Sus scrofa: one gene and its partner. Each later gene encodes a partner of the first gene's protein in a complex. Links are inferred from orthologs where the notes say so. Each region holds a gene or a part of one and is shown on either strand. Other genes may lie near its edges.

Region 1 (10,626 bases):
AGACGTAATTGGCGGAAAAATGTATTTCTTAGGCTTTGAGATAAAAGAAAAAGAATTTTCCCGAGGCCTTATGAAGACAGAGTATACATTACTGGATTTAAAATGTGCAATTTCCGGAGTTCCCGTTGTGGCTCAGCAGAAGCAAATCTGACTAGCATCCATGAGGACGAGGGTTCCATCCCTGGCCTCACTCAGTTGGTTAAGGATCCGGCATTGCTGTGAGCTGTGGTGTAGGTCGCAGACATGGCTTGGATCTGGTGTTGCTGTGGCTCTGGCGTAGGCGGGCAGCTGTAGCTCCGACTGGACCCCTAGCCTGGGAACTTCCGTATGCCATGCGTGCGGCCCTAAAAAGACAAAAAAAAAAAAAAAATGCAATTTCCAAACTCAAAAGTGATGTCCAAAGAAATAAAAAATGTAACTAGACCGATACATTTAAGAAATAAGAATTTATCACTCAACCAAAAAAAGGGGGGGCTTTAATAAATTTCCCAGAGAATCCTCCAAATTTACATAGACCAAATTATTCCTACAGACCATTTATTCATATAGACCATATCATTCCTCTTTTAAAACATAGAAAATTGCAGGTTAACTACCCAATTTAGAAGTTTAAAATGGTTCTGATGTTTCAAACCAACAACAAAATAATAAACAAAAAAACTAAAATTTCTAAACATATATGTATAACAAATTAAAACAAAGTTTCTAAATATATTAGATTGTAACATACTAAAACAATTTTTGATTATGTCTGTGTAGGGTTTTTTCCCCTGAAAATGCAAGTTGGATTTCAGAGAAATTTGAACACCAACTGGATACTATGTGATATCAAAATTTTAATTTTTTTTTGTCTTTTTATGGAGGTTCCCAGGCTAGGGGTCAAATTGGAGCTGCAGCTGTCAGCCTACACCACAGCCACAGCAACAGCAACAATGGATCCAAGCTGCGTCTGCGACCTACACCACAGCTCACCACAACACCGGATCCTTAACCAGAGGATCGAGGCCAGGGTTCGAACCTGCAACCTCATGGATACTAGTCAGACTCGTTTCTGCTGAGCCACGACGGGAATGCCTCAAAATTGTAAAAGAAAGCGATCATTGTACCGTGGGTATATTAATAAAATAGAGATCTTCATTTTTGGTGATGCCAAAGCATTTATGAAGCAAATGATCTCTGGTATTTGGTTTAAAATAACACGCTGGAGTTGGGGATAGGGCTGGGAGGGGAGAATAAATGACGGCCATTTTTGAAAACTGCTGAAATGAAACGATGGCCACAGGGGGGTTCATCATTCTCTTTTCTCTGCTTTAGTGTATGTTGAAAATACTCATAGTGAAAAATTAAAAGATAAGAAGCCTATGTATTTAAAACCAAAAGTCAACGCTAACTAGTGACCAACTTTTCACAACAGAACAGAAAAAATAACAAAGTCTTCCATTTCCATTGTTGTGTGTGTGTGTGTGTGTGTGTATGTGTTTTGCTTTTTAGGGCAGCACCCACAGCATATGGAGGTTCCCAGGCTAGAGGTCTAACTGGAGCTGGAGCTGCCAGCCTGCGCCAGAGCCACAGCAAAGCCAGATCCAAGCTGCATCTGCGACCTACACCACAGCTTATGGCAACACCGGATCCTTAGCCCACTGAGCAAGGCCAGGGATCGAACCCGAAACCTCATGTTTCTTGGATTTTTTTCCGCTGCGCCATGACGGGAACTCCTCCATCTCCATTGTTACTCAGTAGAGTGCTTAGAAAGTTCCTTCTGCTTTTCTATTCTCTACTTTCTTCCCTCCTTCCCTCCTTCCTGATTTCATCCCTTGCTGACTTAGATGACTCCTTCCCTGCGCATAACTTCCTGAAACTCACAAACAGACTTTGCGGTTGTTGCATCACAACGTACGCAATAAATATTTTTTAACAGCAACAGAGCATTATTTTTAAATTTTTTTAACAGTTCTACTCTAAACAAAACTTTTGAAAACATCTCATTTACTTCATCCATTTAAAACATCTCTTTTTGTACTGTTTTATCACAAATACTGGGGGTGAGTGATCTAAAGGTTTTTGCCCATTCGTGCATCACAAAAAGTTTGATGATCACCCTTTTTGGGCACTAAGACACCACTTCAAGTTTTAAGGAGGGGTGGGTGAAGTGTGAAAAGTACTACATCAGGAAAAGTAATTTAGCAGAAGTACATACAGATAGAAAAAGTGAGGAGAAAGACGACAGTTTGAGGAAGTCACTCATTCATTCAACAAGGCATTCATTTAGAAGTGAGATGAGAAGTAGGAACCTGACAGGAACAGGAGGGCTGGGTGATTAAGGGGTCCCGAAAGTACTGTGAAGCAGAAGAGGTTGGGGGGCATGTCAGAGGATGAATTTGACTCCTATTGACAAGATATGCAGGCACAGATGCTCCTCAGACACCGGGAGACAAGAACCTAGAATCAGCAGGAAGGCCTGGACAGCGAATGTACACAAGGAGGCCATCTTTGTACATGTGACAACTGAACCCAAAGGGAGAGTGCTCCCACGGGGAGACTTGGCAGACAGGTACGTCAAAAGGCTTAACCCAAACCTTGGGCCACATCGGTATCAGGAGGCAAAAAAGAACAAGTGGAAACACAGAAGCAGCTGCCCGGGAGATCTGCCACCCTGTTCAAAGTGGTCCCAAGAGTGGGTGGTCAACCGTGTGAGTCACCACGGGGTGGGGGTGGGGGGGTCTTGGGGAAGCAACTCTGGTGGAGGACCCATCATCAATGACCTTGAATGGGACCATTCTAGTCTGGTGGTGCGGTCTACAGTCAGATATCAGAAGAATGATAACGAGGAGAAAGGAGGCACCGATGGAGGGCCAAGCAGGGACCCTCTGCGGTGGAGAGAGAATCGGATGCAAAGACCACAGAACGCCTGGGAGCTGGAGCGGGGCGGGGGGCGGGGGGGTGTGTGCGGAGGGACCGAGAGGGAAAGACTCAAGATTCCAGAGAGTGGGGGCATTTTCTTTCCTTCCCAAACCTGCTTCCAAATTCTCTAGGCCCCGGTTTACCCAAAAGTACTTTATTCTTAAGGACGTGGGGTTAATCGTCGTCTCCACCAGGGCAATAGCGCGCTAGCCATATTCAGGAAAGGTCTGACGGCGCCCGAAGGAAAGGACCCTCCAGGCGAAGAAGCGCGGGCCCAGCAAGAAGGGGAGCGAAGATGTGAACGTCTGGAGGACGCGGCACGGGGTGCGAGGTCCCCGCGAGGGCGCGCCCCTCCCGGAGCAGCAGCCGCGAGTCCTCCCCGACCACCACCCGGGGAGCCGCCCCTCCCGCTCAGGGCACTCACCGCTCCGACTGCGAATAGTGGCACCGGCCCAACAGGTTGAGCTTGCAGAGGTGCAGGTTGCCGCACTGTCTGTTGCAGTACTTGCGACGGCAGACCCGGACTCGAGTGGTGGCCACCACGGACCGGGTGACCCCCGCCTTGCCGCCGGTCTCCAACAGCACGAAGCGGTCGGGCCCGGCGGTTGTCAGCACCTCGCAGAGCTGCGCCTCGGAGAGCTTCACCTTTTGCAGCAGCTCCTCCAGGGCCATACGGCCCCCGTGGGTGCACAGGATTTTGGTGATGAAGCAGCACACCCCCGGGTCAGCCATGGCTCCCTGCGCTGGCCTGGCCGCGGCGGCGCGGGACTCCGCTCTGGGGAGAATCGAAACTTACTAGAATCCCGGGGGCGGGAGCGGGCGGCGCGCGGGCTGGGCGCGCCCGGGGCGAGCGAGCGAGCGTGCGCTCTCCGCCGCTGTTAGCTGAGCCCGGAGGTTTCGGTTTCCTCCAAGGCTTGGGTCGAGAGTCCAGATCGCACCGACCCGGTCCTTGTGTCAACTTAAAATCAATCGCGACGGCGAGCAACTGGAAAGAGAGCGAACAGGCTGGGACTAATCCGCCGGCGACAGTCGGACGGCTCCCTCTCGGTTCTCTGCTCCGCGAAGGTCAGGTTCCCCAGCTGGGCACCGCGAGGCTGCTTCGGAGAGAAGAGAAACTAAAAATCATCTCGGGGCTCTGAGGGAGTTTTAAAGCCAGCCCAAGTGGCGAATAACGCGAGTCTTGGGAGCCCTCTTGAGGAGTCTTCTATTCTCCACCACCCCCCCCATCCCCGCCAAGCACAGACCCGAGTGAGCCCTTGACTTGCTCCCAGCCGGCGCCCTGCCTCCTGTATTGGTGAGTCTTCACAACTAGTACTAGCTAGTTATTGCACTAGCTAGATATTGTTATCTTCGCTCTATTTGAGGAAGTAACCTGAGCACACAACAGCCGTCCCTCAAGCCGGATGTTCCCCAAATCTGGCCCCCAGGCTCCAGATTGGCCGGGACTGCTATGCACTTTCTCCCACACCACCCTGCCTTCTTAAAGGCCAGTGATTATTGGTTTCCCCTATTTTGCCTTCTCATAACTTTTTGTATGTATTTATTTATATTATGGAGGCATGTGGAAGTTCCCGGAGTCGAACCTACGCCACCGCAGCGACCAGAGAGGCTGCTCTGTCAATGCTGGTTGATTACCCTGCTGTGCCACAGGGGAATTCCTCTCGGGAGCTTTTTGAAGAACTGCTTCTTGACACATTCTTGCCTGTCTATAATCGCGAACAGAGGTGTCTCAGACGCTGAGACCCACACAAGGCTAAATATCGGATAGCAGTCAGTCACCGTCGGGCATGCTCAGACACATCCCAAGACTTGAGATTAGGTTCCTCTTCTCGGATGTTTGGACAAGATCTTTTCCTTCGGTGGGAACCCACTTGCACCCCCAGGCTTGGTATTAGGATTATTTTAAAGTGAAAACGTTTCAGCTACAGAAGATGAAGAAAGAAATCTTATCTGAACTGCTCCAAATCTGAATAAAGCAGAACCTACCTAACGTACAGCTGCCCTTAACCTCCTTCCAAGGGAGTTTCCTGCTAATTCAGTTGCGGTGAAGACAGATCAACCATTGCCATTAGCATCAAAAAGCCCGGCAGAACCTTCCCTACTCTCCCACTGTAGTCCTAAAAACCTCCCTTTTGTTAAACTGAGAGATATAAAGTTACTTTAGTCCTTCACTGGAGGTTTCCATTATTAGAAGTCCCCCCCGCCCAATGCTAAATAAATTTTGCCTTTTCTCCTGTTAATCTATTGTCAGTTAATTTGCAGGATCCAATCAATGGACTCATGTGGCGGAGGGAAAAAGTTTTTCCTTTTTCCTTCCAACATTCCCAAGTGAAATAAATGGGTCATTGATCAGATAGGTAATAAACCTTTTTTTTTTTAATGGTAGAATCCAGTTGTCAAACTAGAAAATCTGTAAAATGATCACTGGGTGTTCTCCTCAGATTGGCAGTTCTTGGTTGGCGAACCACGTCTCTCAGGTATAGAGCATTTTGTTATGAAAACCAGCCTAAACTGAGCTCAACCAGATCATCCCTCTACCTATTACTTTATAGCAACAGATGGCCTGATTTATAGTTACCTTTAATCCACGTGGCCTGATTTATAATCTGACAGATTCCCAGGGTCTGGGCTTTCAATATCAAATCAATTAAATTCATCATAACATCTTTTGTGTGGCTCATAAGTTAGTCGGTCTCTGTGGGCATACGGAAGCTCACAAAATAAGTTCCTGCTGTGGTCCAGGGGAAACGAATCCGACTACTATTCATGAGGATGCGTGTTCCATCCCCGGCCTCGCTCAGTGGGTTAAGGATCCAGCGTTGCCATGAGCCATGGGGTCGCAGATGCAGCTCAGATCTGGCGTGGCTGTGGCTGTAGTGTAGGCCAGCAGCTGTAGCTCCGATTCAACTCCTAGCCTGGGAACTTGCGTATGCCTCGGGTGTGGCCCTAAAAAGCAAAAATAAAATAAATGACAGAAGTTTACGAAATAATCCCTGCTCTCAAGGAACTTGTGTTTGGGAAGACATGAAAATGTAAGGGACATCCATGATTAAATGCTGCAAAGGGTATACAGGAGACTGGCGTCTAGAGTACTGTTAGACTTCAAGTCCCCTTCGAGGAGACTGAATTCAAGTGATGACCAGACCCTTAGCATCACCCCACCGGTCTCACTGTAATGCCCCTTCCCCCACCTTGAGCAACCTGTGTAGGCCAGCAGCTACAGCTCCGGTTCAATCCCTAGCCTGGGAACCTCCATATGCCACAAATACAGCCCTAAAAAGACAAAAAAAAAAAAAATGGACATGGCCATGCCTTCAGCCTTGGCTCTCTCAGATCATCAGCACATCGTCGGGTGCAAGTACAGCATCTCTCATCTGAAGCTCCTCTCTTCTGAGTCGGCTCTCCCTGATTATCAGGAATTTGGCCCACTGTGTTAACAGCGTCTCTCATCTCAATAAACTCTTTTTTTTGTCTTTTGTCTTTTTTGACGGCAGAGCCCATGGCATATGGAGGTTCCCAGGCTAGGGGTCTAATCAGAGTTACAGTTGCCAGCCTATGCCAGAGCCAGAGCCACAGCAATGCCAGATCTGAGCCGCATCTGTGACCTACACCACAGCTCACGGCAACGCCAGATCCTTAACCCACTGATAGAAGCCAGGGATCGAACCCTCAACCTCATGGTTCTTAGTCGGATTCGTTTCCGCTGCACCACAATAGGAACTCCAATAAACTCTTCTTTCTTTTCACATACCCCCTCCACTACGAGTCTGGAAAATTCTTCTTTCCAACCTGCATGCACAGACCACAGACAGTACAGTTTGGTTTGAGCGGTAGGGAACAACGATTATAAAATTTTTCTCAATTTGAGACCCTGTGAAACAATGTTGAGAGGGAAAAAGCAGGCATTGCGCCATTTGTATTGGGCTGTCTAGGAAGCAGGCACTGATAAGGAATTAAGGGTACAGACGCTGTCCTGGGGGGTAACACCAGAGAAAGTCAAGGGAAGAAGGGTTGGTCTGGGGGCTGTCAGACTGCGATGCAGCCCTGACAAAGTCTACGGTGGGCCCAACAGGAGCCAGAGTCTAGCTTGGGCAGAAAAACCTAGATCCTTTTACCACTGCCTTGGTTGGTCATTGGCAGGGGTCACTGGAGACGTACCTGACTTCAGTGCAGTCACTAAAGTGAATCCTGAAGAAGCTAAAGCTGGAGGCTCTCATCTAAAAACCCTCCTTGCAGCTGGGCAGCAAGCCTTGGCTTGAAGGGAAATCTGAGGGACTTCTGTGTCAGATCTGGTCCTCTCTTTGTGCCACGGGGATCTATTTCTTCAGTTTTTTTCACAGCCACGATGGGCTGTCCTTACTGAAAGGACACTTAAAAAAGGGAAGTTAAGGGAGTTCCTGCTGTGGCGGATTGAGTTAAGAATTTGGCGTTGTCTCTGCAGCAGCAGAGTTCCATCCCTGGCCCAGTGCAATGCACCAGGATCCAGTGTTGCCACAGCTGTGGCATAGTTGGCAGCTGTGACTCAGATCTGATGGATCCCTGGCCGGAGAACTTCTATATATGGAAAGTGCGGCATCCTCATGGATCCCAGGCGGGTTCGGATTCGGGTTCGTTAACAGCTGAGCCATGAGGGGAACTCCCTCTCTTTCTTTTTGGATTGGCACATAGTTGATTGACAATATTGTGTTAGTTTCAGGTATACAGCAAAGTGATTCCGTTATACATACGTGTAAATCTATTTTTTTCTATTCATTTCTGATATAGTTTATTATAAGATATTGACTATAATTCCCTGTGCTGTACAGTAAATCCTTGTTGTTTACCTATTTTATATATAGTAGTGTGCATCTGTTAATCTCACACTCCCAATTTATCCCTCCCCCCTTCTCCTTTGGTAACCATAAGTTTGTTTTCTTTGAGTCTATTTCTGTTTTGTAAATAAGTTCATTTGTACTATTTTTTTTAGATTCCTCATATAAGTGATATCATATAATATGTCTCTGTCTGACTTACTTTACTTAGTATGATAATCTCTAGGTCCATTCATGCTACAAATGGCATTCCTTCATTCTTTTCTATGGCTGAAGAGTGTTCCTCTCTCTCTCCATATATATATATATATATGCCACATCTTCATTATCCATTCTTCTGTTAATGGATACTTAGGTTGCTTCTGGGTCTTGGCTATTGTTAGTTGGGCTGCTATGGACATTGGGGTGCATGTATCTTTTTGAATTAGGGCTTCCATCTTTTATTGCTGGATCATATGATAACTCTACTTCTAGCTTTTTAAGGAACCTCCATATTGTTCTTCATAGTGGATAAGCCAGATTACATTCTCACCGACAGTAGGAGGGTTCCTTTTCCCCACAACCTCTCCAGCATTTATTATTTGTAGCCTTTTTTTTTTTTTTTTGCTTTTTTTTTTGCTTTTTAGGACCACACCCACAGCATATGGAGGTTCCCAGGTTAAGGTTCCATCGGAGCTGCAGCTGCCGGCCTACACCACAGCCACAGCAATGCCAGATCCGAGCCACGTCTACGACCTACACCACAGCTCATGGCAACCCAGATCCTTAACCCACAGAGCAAAGCCAGGGATTAAACCTGTGTCCTCATGGATACTTGTCGGGTTCATTACTGCTGAGACATGATGGCAACTCCAATTTGTGGACTTTTTGATGATGGCACCACTGTCCACTTCTAATTTCCCCTCACTCCCACCTAAGGTGGTCTCAGTAGCTCACCTGGGTGGTACCCCAAATCCACATTCCTAAGTGATCTGAGCACCTTCTTACATCACCGTTGCTGCTCTTGTCTTGAACATTCACAGTCGTATCTGGGTAAAAGAGTACCAGCTGACACCCAAATAGATCACTGGAGTGCACAGGTATTCCTCCCTGCCCCTCCCACAGCAGCCCTCCCTCCTCTGAGAAGGTCATCGATTGCCAATGATTCCTTGTTTCACCTGCAGGTCTCTTACCATTAGGAGGTCAAAGTGCCTGGTGGCAGCTGTAACTTTTAGTCCAGTGGGATCTTTGCTGTATCCCCGGGCAAGAATGTGCCCCTTTGGGGAGACCAAAGCCTCTAATTTTGTAGAACCTGGACTTATGGGTACAGGGAAGCCCAGTGGATTTGTAGGAGAGCAAAACTTGCCACCCCCAAAATGTCTCTAGCATGCGGATTATGTCAAGCTGAAAATAATCAAGGCCTGAAAGACTCAGGAAGAAACTGTGAGCTTTTCCTCAGCTGCCTAAAAGAAATTTAGATGTAGGGCATGTTCCCAAGCTAGAGTTATCACCAGAGATATCTGCAAAGAGAATGGGCTCGGTGTGGCAGGGGACATTCTCAGCAGGGCCTAGAGGTCAGAGTCTACTCTGTGTCCCCTTGTCTCTGCTGACCCAGCAAACATTTATTTACCAAATATTTGCACCACTACCCCCAACCTCCTCTTTGGTGTTTCTTTTTCTTTTTCTTTTTTTTTTTTTTTGGCCACACTTGGTGCATGCACAAGTTCCCAGCCAGGGATCAAACCAGAGCCATAGCAGTGACAAACATCAGGTCCTCAGCTGCTAGGCCATCAGGGAACTCTGTTCTCTTTTGTCTTCAGCTAAAGATGGTATTTAAGGTGAGGCTGTCAGGAGCTCCTGTCTTAGCTCAGCAGTAACCATCCTGACTAGGATCCATGAAGATGTGGGTTCAATCCCTGGCCTAGCTCCGAGGGTTAAGAATCCGGCATTGCCATGAGCTGCAGTTTGTGTCACAGACGCAGCTTGGATCTGCTGTGCTGTGGCTGTGGTGTAGACCAGCAGCTGTAGCTCCAATTTGACCCCTAGCCTGGGAACTTCCATAAGCTGCAACTGCGGCCCTAAAAAGAAAAAGAAAAAACATAAAAATAAAAATGTGAGGCTTTCAGCTCTTGGGGGGGAGTTATTCAGTTTTTCTGTATCTCTCCCATGTATACATATTATTCAGCTTCGGGTGATTTTTTCTCCTATTCATCTGTCCCATGTCAATTTAATTCTTAGACCAGCCAGAAGAACCTGGAAGAGAAGAGGAAAATTTCTTCCTCCCCAACCAGTCATTAGAAAGATACTAGCTGGGGCCACTCATGCTTCCCCAAGGTCTTCCCTCTGTTGGGAACCCAGCACCGTAGACATTCTCTGATGGAAGGCGTAGGCTCTGATGCCCTGGAGGAAACGTCGTCACTGCAGTGAATTGCCTCCATGCCAGAGCTTCAGCTGCGTCTCTGACCATTCCAGTGTTTTACCTATCAGCAGTTTTGGGGTTCCAGGGTGTGTGACAGGACCAGGAGATCCCATGTTCACGGACTGATTCCTCTATTTCCTGGGATGAAGAGCAGCTTCTGGTGGTCAGATACTGTGTTATGTGGGGTTCCGTATCTGTGGATCAGGCCGTCTTTAAGCACCCAGAGGAGTTCCAGTCGTGGCTCAGCAGAAATGAATCTGACTAGTATCCATGAGCACGCAGGTTTGATCCCTGGCCTTGCTCCGTGGGTTAAGGATCTGGTGTTGCCATGAGCTGTGGTGTAGCTTGCAGATTCAGCTGGGATTTCTTGTTGCTGTGGCTGTGATGTAGGCCAGTGGCTACAGCTCTGATTCAGTCCCTAGCCTGGGAATTTCCATATGCCATGGGTGCAGTCCTAAAAAGACCAAAAAAAAAAAAAAAAAAAAAAGCTCCCAGAGAGTGGTGCTACTGAGGTCC
Region 2 (10,461 bases), on another chromosome or scaffold:
CAAGACAAATCACAGGCCATCCAACGTTTCTTCCTGACCTTGGAAGCCTTGCTGTTACTGCCCCTCAGACTCCAAGACCTTCCTAAACTTGGCCAAGCTTCCAGACTTCCAACGACTGCTTCTTGCTGCTTTTCTCACTTGCTGAAACTTCTGCTCAGTGCTGGCAGGAGGATAGGGTGGCAAGAAAGATCCGTCCTCCTGCCAGCGCTGAGCAGAAGCTTGAACAAGTGACAAAAGCAGCAAGAAGCAGACACCTGGCGCTCATGTAGACATGGTCACACAGTATTTATAGAGCACTTTCTGTGTGCCAGGCCCTGTTCAGGTGTGGAACAGACGGCAGGTGATGAGAGTGGCGTGGTCTCTGCCCACGGTCAGGTAAGTGAGGCAACTCCACAAGCAAATACAGTGCAGGGTGGTAAGGGAAAGAACCTGGCATAGGAGCCCACAGCACAGGGGCTCAAAGCCTCAGCTCAGAGAGGTTTATCTTCCGTCACCACCAGCCCCCCCAAAGTAATGCATATGCTACTGCAGTGCATGAGTGAAAGGTTCAGAATTCCTAAGTGGAAGATTGATTAGGAAGGTACTTAGCAAAATCTCTACTTTCTATTCAAGGGAATTTTAAGCAATAATCAGGCTTTACCCATATGGCTTCTGAGCCCTCTTAGCGAGATTTTTCTTTTGCAGGGTTGAACAATTTACAAGGTCTGATTTGAGATTATTCCTCCTGTTTTTAGAGGAGTGAATAAAGAAGACATGTCCACAGTTGAGCACTGTGGGCACCGTAGACTATTAGTCACAGCTTCCCTCCATCATGAATCTCCCTTCTCATCTGGGACATTGGTGGCTGAACTTTCCCAAGTCTCTAACAGAGAAAGTCCCCAGTAGGGAATATATCTATATCTATATCTATATCTATATCTATATCTATGTCTATGTCTATATCTATGTCTATATTATATATATCTATATTTCTGTATATCTCTGTCTCTATCTATCTACCCATCTGAGTCACTTTGCTGTATAGTTGAAATTGGCACAACATTGTAAATCAACTATACTTTAATTAAAAAAAAAAAAGAAAAGGAAAAGAACAAAGTCCCCAGTAGGCAGGCAGTCCCAGAAATAAGCAAAATAAAAGAAAGTCCCACACTGTATCTCATTCTCATGTTAGAAAGCCCACAAAGTAGGGACACAGTCTTTAGGGAATTAGCCTGTTGTGGCCCCCTTTGCCTGGCAAAGCAACAAAGCTAACCTTTTCTCCTTTACTGTCCCCCCCAATAAAAGCCCACAAACTGTCTATTGAGATGGGGACCCCCCAAGCTTTGCTATACCATGTTTTCTTACTGGCCATTTATGATGTCTTTTGTTTCTAGGTAAAAGTGAATATGCCTGAAAGAGAGAAGCATTGTAACAGGTAAGTGGCCACAATAAAACAAAACAAAAATCCTACCTACTTTTTAAAGATTGTCCTAGAGTCCTTTGGACAGGCACCAGTTTTGTTTCCTAATTTGTATGGTAACAGTAACTTACCTATATTGAGTACTTGCTCTGTGCTTTCCAACCCTGTGGGGGTAGATACAGTATTTCTTTGCATTTATAGGGGAGGAGTTCCCATTGTGGCTCAGCAGAAATGAATACAATTAGTAACCATGAGGTTGTGGGTTCCATCCCTGGCCTCGCTCAGTGGGTTAAGGATCCGGCAGTGCTGTGAGTGATGAGGCTCAGATCCTGAGTTGCTGTGGCTCTGACATAGGCCATCAGCTGTAGCTCCAATTGAACCCCTAACCTGGGAACCTCCCTATGCTGCAGGTGTGGCCCTAAAAAGAAACATAATGCATTGATAGGGGAAGAAAATTAGGCACAGAGAGGTTGTGTAACTCTCTGAAGGTCATGGGTGGCTGTTAAGCCAGAGGCTCCAGTGTCCACCTCTTCACCACCACGTTCACTGCCTTTCATGCAAGTGTAGTCATTTTGTTGCTAGAGTTACTTTCCTCCCACTAATCTATGGACTTTTCAACTTTTATTAATGTATGAATATACATTAATATAATGTATATCAAGATTTCTCTTTCAATTTGGTCCAGACTAAGATGATTTACAAACTAAAACAGAACCTGATTTAGGGAGGACAGACTAATTTTAGCAGGTTGACTTTAAGGGGAGATAGGACCCATTCAGTTGGGTCCAAGAATGATTCTCTTGGCCCTGATAGAGTTTGACTTGAATGCCATGCCCTCGATTTCTGAGCTATAATGAGAAGACAGCTATTTTGAGTTGCCACTTAAGTATTTTACAGTACGACAACCCTACTTGAACCCAGGGTCTGGACATTTAGATAAGGATCCAAGTTTAGGACTCCTGTCCCAAATTCCTGCTTTGCTTTACCTGGGGCACCTTTTAAAATGACCGCTTAGAGGGCTCCCTGGTGGCCTAGTGGTTAAAGGATCTGGTGTTGTCATTGCTATGACTTGGGTCACTGCTGTGGCGTAAGTTTGATCCCTGGCCCAGGAAATTCCACATGTCATGGGGTGCAGCAAAAAAAAAAAAAAAAAAAAAAAAGAAAAAGAAAAAAGAAAAAAGGAAAAAGAAAGATCAGTTAGAGTTGAGTTCATATAAAGTTAGTGACCTCCAACCCAACCACCTTGCATGTAATAAGTTCTTGCTATCCTGTGTACATATGAACTGAGATGGAGGACTGCCCTTCCCCTGGTTCATTGCCTCCCCTCCTCCCTCCTGGTTTCTGAGATCTGTGAGTAATAAGTCTTACGACATCACTTCCTTTGTGTGAGTGTACTGCACCTTCAATCAAAACAACCATGGGTTTTTCACTTCCTCAAATGGAGAGCTCAGATGCTGAGGGAGCTACCCACTGATCCCATGTGGTGGCTTGTACCTTCTCATTCAGCAAGTCATACTCTGCATATCCTTAATTTAATGCACCAGCTACAGTCCCCCAACACATGAGGGGTGCCATTTTCCCTCAGCTAATAAATGGTGCTGTTTCATAAGTTTCCACACTCTTGTAGGTAGTGAAAAATGAATCAGGGGAGATTGCAGCAGCTGGATTGCAAAGGCCCAAAAAAAGTACATTCAGAGTGATAGATTTGATGTTAGACCCTCCCCCTCCCCCAGGATCCCCTTAAGGGGTTTAGCAGTGAAGTTCATTCAAATAGGTCACTATGGCAACCTCAGTGTGGAGAATGGACTCAGAGAAGCAAAACTGGAGGTCAATGTGCGGGTTAGGAAGCATTCAAAGAACTCTGAGATGTGGGTAATTTGAGAGAGGATGGATGGGAAACAATGGATGGACCTGGTGGATGTGAGTGATTGGACAGAGAGGAATCGAGGATGATGGCTGGGGTTCTGCTTGGGCAACAGGGATGTTCCTTTTTTAAACACAGAGAAAGGGAGAAAGACAGGATTTAGGGAGGACAGACTAATTTTAGCAGGTTGACTTTAAGGTGGGATAGGTAGTGTAGGAGTCTGAGATTTAGGAGGGAGGTCCTGTATAGAGACAAAAATGTGGTCATTGTCAGAGCACAGATGGAGATTCGTACTTTCGAGGTTGTGTCAGGACGAAAGGAATCCTAAGGCAGAACCTTGAGGAAAACTGACATTTGGGAGATGTTTAGCAGTACAGGAGCGTAAAAAAGAATGTGGTCTGAGCAGAGACATGGAGGGAGCACCCAGAGCATGCAGTCAGGTGGGGCAGGGAGTTGCTTCTAGAAGGAGGGAGTGGACAACAGAGTCAAATGTTAGGGAGAGCCTGAGTAACAGAGGACTGGATGATAGTGACATTGGTGACTGACACAGAAGTCATGAGTGACCAGTTGAGGGCAGTTTAGGTGGAGCAGCAGAGGCTACCGTTGACTTAAGGGGTGAGCAACTGGTAAGCATAGATACTTGGCTCTAAAGGAGAGGAGAGGTGATGTCTACTAGCTGCGGGGGCATATAAAGCTGAGGATAACTATATACCCACCGCTATTGCCATACCATCCTTTTCTCGTCTAGACCTAAGAGACTTGAGTCTATTTAACTGCTAAACAGAAGCAGTGAGAGGGAGGGAGACACTGAACATTCAGGAGGGTGAAGAGGAAAGGAAAAGGATATGTTTGCAGGAAATGAAATCCACAGCTGGTGGATGAAGATAGCTGCCTTGACAGAAGAAAGGGCACAGCTTCTACTGAGCCAGATGCGAAGAAGGAGAGATGAGGAGGATGGTGAGTTTCTGGATGTGCCATTGGGAAGGGGTCCTCCTGGGGCTTCTGCTTTCTTGGTGAAGCAGAAAGTGAGGTACCTGCTGCTGGCAGTGGGGGCAGAGTTGGAGGGTAAAAGGTTTGAGAGACCAGAAGGCTTCAGTTGGATTCCAGGGAGAATGAGGAAAGAAGCTGGCAAAGAAGAATTGACTGGAGGATTGAGGACCAGGGGTGGCTGGAGACCATGGATTGAGAGCTGCAGCAAATGCTTCAGCCGGACTTCTCTCTGTAGAAAGCAGCTGCCAGGGCGTGGGTGTAGGAAAGGTCGACAGTTGGATTCTATTCTTAGGCTCCTCAAAGTCCTAGGAGATTTTAGTGCCTGGAGAGGAACACTAGCCACCATCTGTGCTTTATTTATTGTTTAACTCATTTGCTTCATAAACCTGCTTAAGCAAAAATTGTCTAAACATTTATATAACCAATGAGCCAAAATCTACACATTTTACAAATCAGATCATTTAAACATTGACTGAAAACTTAAATTCTCCTACACATTTCAATAGAGTCATCAGGGTAGTATGTCAGCTTCTCTAAAGGCATCAAATCTTTTGGTAAAGCACATGCCTTTCAAGGATTATAAAGTATATGACACCTACACTTACTATAAAATTGGGTTTATAGACCCAGGAGAAGGACACTATCTCAGTTCAGACCAATTTTTGAGTCTGGATAGACAAAAGATGAATAGTATCTCAGTGTAGATGAGGTTTTGAATTATTACTCAATGAGTTCTTGGTTGGGACCTGCTTTACCTTTTAAGATGTTGAATATCTGAGCCAGTGCTTATCTTATATATCACCGGAATTTTCATTTTCCAGTACCTTTTCCATTCATTTCCATGAATTAGTGTAATGTAACTGGATGCCTCTTTTTTAAAATGATGTCTTTAAGTTTTGTGGGTTTTTTTTTTTTTTTTGGCTGAATCTTTGGCATATGGAAGTTTCCAGGCCAGGGGACCAATCGGAGCTGCAGCTGCTGCCCTGCACCACAGCCACAGCAATGCCAGATCTGAGCCCTGTCTGCGAACTATAAGGCAGCTTGTGGCAATGCCAAATACTTTAACCCACTGAGTGAGGCCAGGGATTGAACCCACATCCTCGTGGATACTAGTCAGGTTCTTAACCTAGTGAGCCACAACAGGATCTCCTGTCATTTTTAGGTCTAAGGACTATGATATGCAGATGTTCCAGAGATGTCTATGCCCACTCCCTGGAGCCACCGAATATGTTGTGTTTAATGGTAAAGAGACATTTTCATATGCAATTAAAGTTATGGGTCTCAAAACAGAGAGATTATCCTGATTTATCCATGTGGGCCCAATCTAATTACCTTAAATTTGAGAATTTTAAAAGTCAGAGATGTGGCTGAAAGCTAGGTTGGAGAGGTTCAAACTGTTAGAAGGACTTGGCCTGACACTATTGACCCAAAGGCTGGAGGCCAGGAAACTCAGTCCTACAACCATAAGGAAATGAATGCTGAGTGAATTCTTTATTCATGATTGCCACCTCCTGACCCAAGAGGGAAATGGGTGTGCCCTTCCCTCCTCCTTCCTGGGGGCTATAAGGTTGATGTAATGGCATTCTTCCACTTCAGTAAAGAAGGCAGGGCTACTACCTACATCTTGCTTTTGACCTAATGAAACCCTAAGCAGAGAATCAAATCATGCTCTGCTGGACTTCTGACCTATAGAAACAGATATTAAATAGGTCAAAGTTGTGTTAAGGCAGTAACTTTGTGGTAATTGTTATGCAACAATAGAAAGCTAATACAATAACTTTACTGACATTATTTTCAAATTTATCTACCTCATTTGCATTTTTACAAACATCCTCAATCTTGTTGTTTTTCCCAATATCCAATCTTTTCTTCTTCTGACTTTTAGCTGAGCGTGGCTGCCTGGAATAAAGACTTTATTCCCTAGCCTGTCTCCACTGTCTGGTGTGGCCAGCTAGGACTAAATTCGGGCCATTGAGATGCAAATAGAACTGTTGGGTGTACCTTTCAGAAAGCTTCTTTAAAAGGAAATGGGTGTGCCAGTCCCTCCTCCTTCCTTGGGGCTATAAGGTTGATGCAATGGCTGGGGCTATCTTGGGTCAGGAGGTGGCAATAAAGAAAGCCAGGCTGATGATCATCAAACTGCCATCCTTCCCTGGACTCTTTGTTTGCAGATTCTTCTGTGTGAGAGGGAAATAACCTACCACCTTGTTTAAGCCATTATTATTTTGGGTTTTTCTGTTACTGTAATCTCTTTGTAATTAGTAGGGTAGTAGTATAAAGTTTCCCTTTTCCAAGAAGTGAAGGATCAAGTTTAAGGAGTGAGCAGTTAGCTTCTGGAAGTTTGACTAATTTATCATCATGTAACAAGTTGTTGGACTTTCTTCCTAGTTGTATTATTTGACCTGATGGTGCCAATCAGTCTCTTTCATTTTTGGTGCAGTTCCAACTTTTTCTGGAATTACTCACAGCTCTCTGGATCCACCCCTTCCTACTTATGCAGATAAAGACAAATAAATGCACTTTATGAATAGATAAATTATCTACTATATTTATACTCTTCTACTTATCAAAACTAATTAAAAAATATCCTATAATAGTCATACTTCTTCACTCAGTGTATTAACTACCTTTTTGCACATTGTATAGTTACTTTTTCCTTTTGAAAATCACAACAGAGACATGGCTTTTAAAAATTCACCTTGTGGAATTCCCTGGCAGCTCAGTGGGTTAAGGATCCAGCTTTGTCACTGCTATGGCTCGGGTCATTGCTGTGGCAAGGGTTTGATCCCTGGCCCAGGAACTTCTGCATGCCATGGGTGCAGCCAAAAAAAATCACCTTGTTCCAATTAACTATATCATTTTTCTTTTGATTATCCAATTGTCATAAAATGTCAGTTTGTGGAAGTCTATTAAAATGGTTTCTTTGGAGTTCCCATCGTGGCTCAGTGGTTAACGAATCCGACTAGGAACCATGAGGTTGCAGGTTCGATCCGTGGCCTTGCTCAGTGGGTTAAGGATCCGGCGTTGGTGTAGGTTGCAGATGTGGCTCGGTTCCTGTGTTGCTGTGGCTCTGGTGTAGGCAAACGGCTACAGCTCCGATTCGACCCCTAGCCTGGGAACCTCCATATGCCGCAGGAGTGGCCCAAGAAATGCCTTCTCAGCTCTACCCCTTACATTCAAAAAATATCTTTGATTTTTGTCTTCAATAGTATGTTCCAAGCCTAGAGTTATTTATGATGAGCTATTCTCCAAGGGACCGTGAGTCCTTTTAAAGGTGAATAATAGTTGAGGCAAAGATCCAGGTGCTAAGAATGCATATTAGATTTTTCCTGATGTTGTTCCTACACTACTTTAGTGACAAAATTTGAAAAAGTTATTTCTTTTGGAAACCACAAACTCACATTGGTATTTCCTCTTTAACTCAAGTACTACCAAATCCTTTTTTTTAAATTTGACTCTAACATATGAATTTACATTTATTTTCTCTACAACATATACCTGCTGGTCTCTTGTAACCCCTGAACCCAATTGTGATGGCATCTTCTCTCTCTAGTGATCCTATAGGGTCTCATTGACCATCATTCTCTAATTACTTTATTGATAGATTCATCCATGCTGGGCCAATGGGACAGAGAGGTGACACAAGTTTTTTAATACTGGCAGGAGAGTGGCTGAAGGGATGAATCATGGCATCCAAGGTAATAGGAAGTTTAGGAAGGAGACTAAGACGGCACAAATTAAGAGAAAGAGGAGACGTTGCAGGTCAGTGTAGAACAGCTACAGTGAAGGTCACTGAGAGAGCTGGGAGGAAGGAGGTGATGGGGAGAGCATGGAGTGATGAAAGTTCCGACTACATAGATGGAGCAGTTCTAGGAGGCGGCCACAGGCATTGATGTGTTCCATGGCCTGGAGATCTATACTTGCCCACATGTGACCTGCCTCCACCTCCAGCTGCCAAAGGAAGCTCTGTTTACCTGCTCTCTGCCAAAGCAAACATATATCCATGTCTTGGATGGGGAGGTGAGGGGCAGAGTCCACCTGGGATCTGGCACAGATAAATGCCTGGGGTTCACTATCTGCTGGTGGCTCCAATGTACACAAAAAAATGTGTACCATGTTCAGGCTGAGGGCACGCCCCCTTCCTGCCTTACCAGCTACAGGCTCTGGGCTGCTCTGTGGCCCTTACCATGCATCTGCTGGTGGCTAAGCCTCTGGCCCTAGTCCTCGCAGTGCTGGCTCAGCTTCTGAGTATGATTTGTGATGCTGGCACTCCTCACAGGAAGGAGCCTGCCGGATATGCTGAAGCTGGTCCATCTGGTCCCCTGTAGGGGCCTGTCAGGCTCACCTGTACCACCTGTTCCCAAATAGCACTGAGCGGGAAGCTGGGTTGGGGGTGGAGGACAGGAAGCAGAGACTGCAAAGTAGTCTACGCCTCCCTCCCTGGAAAATCTTGCTCTGATTCTAGGGCTGCAGGCAGAAATCAAGGCAGTGGGAGGCTGGGAGGCAACTGTGGGGGTGGGGTAAGAGGGACAGGTCCCAAGACACTGCAGCTCTACTCCTCACCTTGGATGTTTGGCACAGGGTCCCATGCAAGGCAGTGGAATAAAGGCAGCCAGAGGGAGTCTTTCTCCTGCCCTAAAGAGACTGCTTCTGGGGCAGGAAAGGGTAGAGGGCAGAGGTCAGGGGCTAGATTTCTGTCTTTGAAAAGCTTCAGCCCTCAGAGTGGGAAAATGAGGAAGCCAGAGAAGCTCGAATATTTCCAGCCACCGAGTAGGTTCCCTCGACGCAGGCGCAGAGACACCCGGTCCCCAGGATCCAGGGGCAGTAGCACAGAACTGGTGGCTGCCTCCCGGGTCACGTCTGGGTCATTGGCAAAGGCCGAGACGACAGGCCATGTGTTCAGCATCAGGCTTACCTGCAGAGGGAAGCCCAGTTAGCACCTGTCCCTGCCCCTCGCCCCAGGACCCCACTCTCTTGAGGGCTTTCTCCCTTCTCTCCAGCCCCAGAGGGACACGCTAATACCTGGGAACCTGGACAGTGCACCCACCTGGGAGGGCTGCGGGGTGGCCCATGTTGGACTCTGGACCTCTATCACACGCTCTGTTAGGTAGGTCCGTTCCCCCCTTGCTCTTGGCCTCCCAGGACACAGGTCAATGGAGGTCTGCCTGGGGGTCAGCTGGGCTCCACTTATTTCCCCTCCTCTTACCCTGACCCCCCCGCCCTCCGCCCCAGGAGTTGGAGATAGGACAGGGCCTAGTATTCAGGTCACCTGGACAGTTTGGCGGTTGTACACCTTCACCACATGGAACCGGAAGCTGTAGACACCTCGGACAGGGGCCACGAAGGAGCCTGAGGCTCGGTCAAAGCCACCGCCCTCGTTCACCAGGACCTGTGGGAAGCAGACCCTGCTGAGTAGGGCTCAGGGATGCCTGGGGCTCAGGGAAACCACGGGGTTGGGGAAAGGGGCAGCGAGTAAGGAAAGGAAGGGGTGACAAGCAGACAGGACAGGAGGAATGCCTGGGTTCAAAAGAAATGGTGAGAAAGGTCAAGGAGGGTATGGGGGGAGTGAAGGGAAGGGAGAAGGGCAGCAGGCTTGGGGGCAACCAGCCACAGCAGGGGCTGTTTCCTTAGCAGCAGAGCGGGCTTGGACAGTGCTTCCAGGTCTTTGCAGGGGAGGGGGATTACCTGGTCGAAGTAGATGGCTCCACCCGTGCCGTTGCTGATTTCCCCTGCTGGCTCATGGTGGTGGCTTCGGACTGCAGCAAATGCCACTCTTCCAGGGGGTGCTTCTCCCAGGGCTGCTCCCCCGGGACCCCCTGCAGCAGCTCGGCCCGGCTCACAGACCACCAGGCACTCGCCTTCCAGGAGGACTGGCTCTGTCCCCTCTTGGGCCCACCCGGCCCTGAGAACCAGAAGAGTCAGGGCCAAGGGCAGCCCAGGGCTGAGTGGAGGACCTGGTGGCCAGTGTTGCTTTGCTCCCAGCATGGCTGAGTGGCTCTGTGACCCCCAAGCCTCCTCTTTCTGCTCCTTGGTTTTGCCCTCCTCTGCCACAGACTCTCAGCACCCCTCACCCTGCTTCTCAGTCTTCTCTCTGGGACTCATGGTCACCTGGTCTTGGCATCTCCATCCCTCTCGTGCCCCACAACTCTGTCCTGCCTCTCCTGCTGTCACTGCAGGTCCCTCCTCCTTGGCAGGGCACAAAATGACA

What was found.
Region 2: the proteins of ZC3HAV1 (region 1) and KHNYN are in contact, whole or in part, in a crystal structure (PDB 9BGL), measured with the Homo sapiens proteins. The link is inferred for Sus scrofa from reciprocal best matches to the Homo sapiens genes ZC3HAV1 and KHNYN. Residues at the interface, in NP_064504.2 of Homo sapiens: Glu5, Val6, Cys8, Phe9, Lys12, Ile13, Ala16, His17, Glu29, Ile30, Ala31, Leu32, Leu113, Glu115, Phe118, Ser127, Gly128, Leu129, Asn130, Glu133; in NP_001277186.1 of Homo sapiens: His651, Lys652, Asp654, Phe655, Gln658, Arg659, Pro661, Tyr662, Asn677, Phe678.

The regions. Positions count from the first base shown.
Region 1 is NC_010460.4:10,525,529-10,536,154, reverse strand, and holds the start of ZC3HAV1 (zinc finger CCCH-type antiviral protein 1), read right to left. Parts: upstream 6,350-10,626; 5' UTR 4,146-6,349; exon of another isoform or gene 3,999-4,145; 5' UTR 3,634-3,998; coding exon 3,326-3,633; intron 1-3,325.
Region 2 is NC_010449.5:74,865,813-74,876,273, reverse strand, and holds the start of KHNYN (protein KHNYN), read left to right. Parts: upstream 1-3,789; 5' UTR 3,790-4,108; coding exon 4,109-4,220; intron 4,221-7,830; exon of another isoform or gene 7,831-8,970; coding exon of another isoform or gene 8,971-9,168; intron 9,169-9,522; coding exon of another isoform or gene 9,523-9,642; intron 9,643-9,938; coding exon of another isoform or gene 9,939-10,238; exon of another isoform or gene 10,239-10,343; intron 10,344-10,461. Other genes in the region: CBLN3 (cerebellin-3 precursor), read right to left, coding at 8,971-9,168, 9,523-9,642, 9,939-10,238.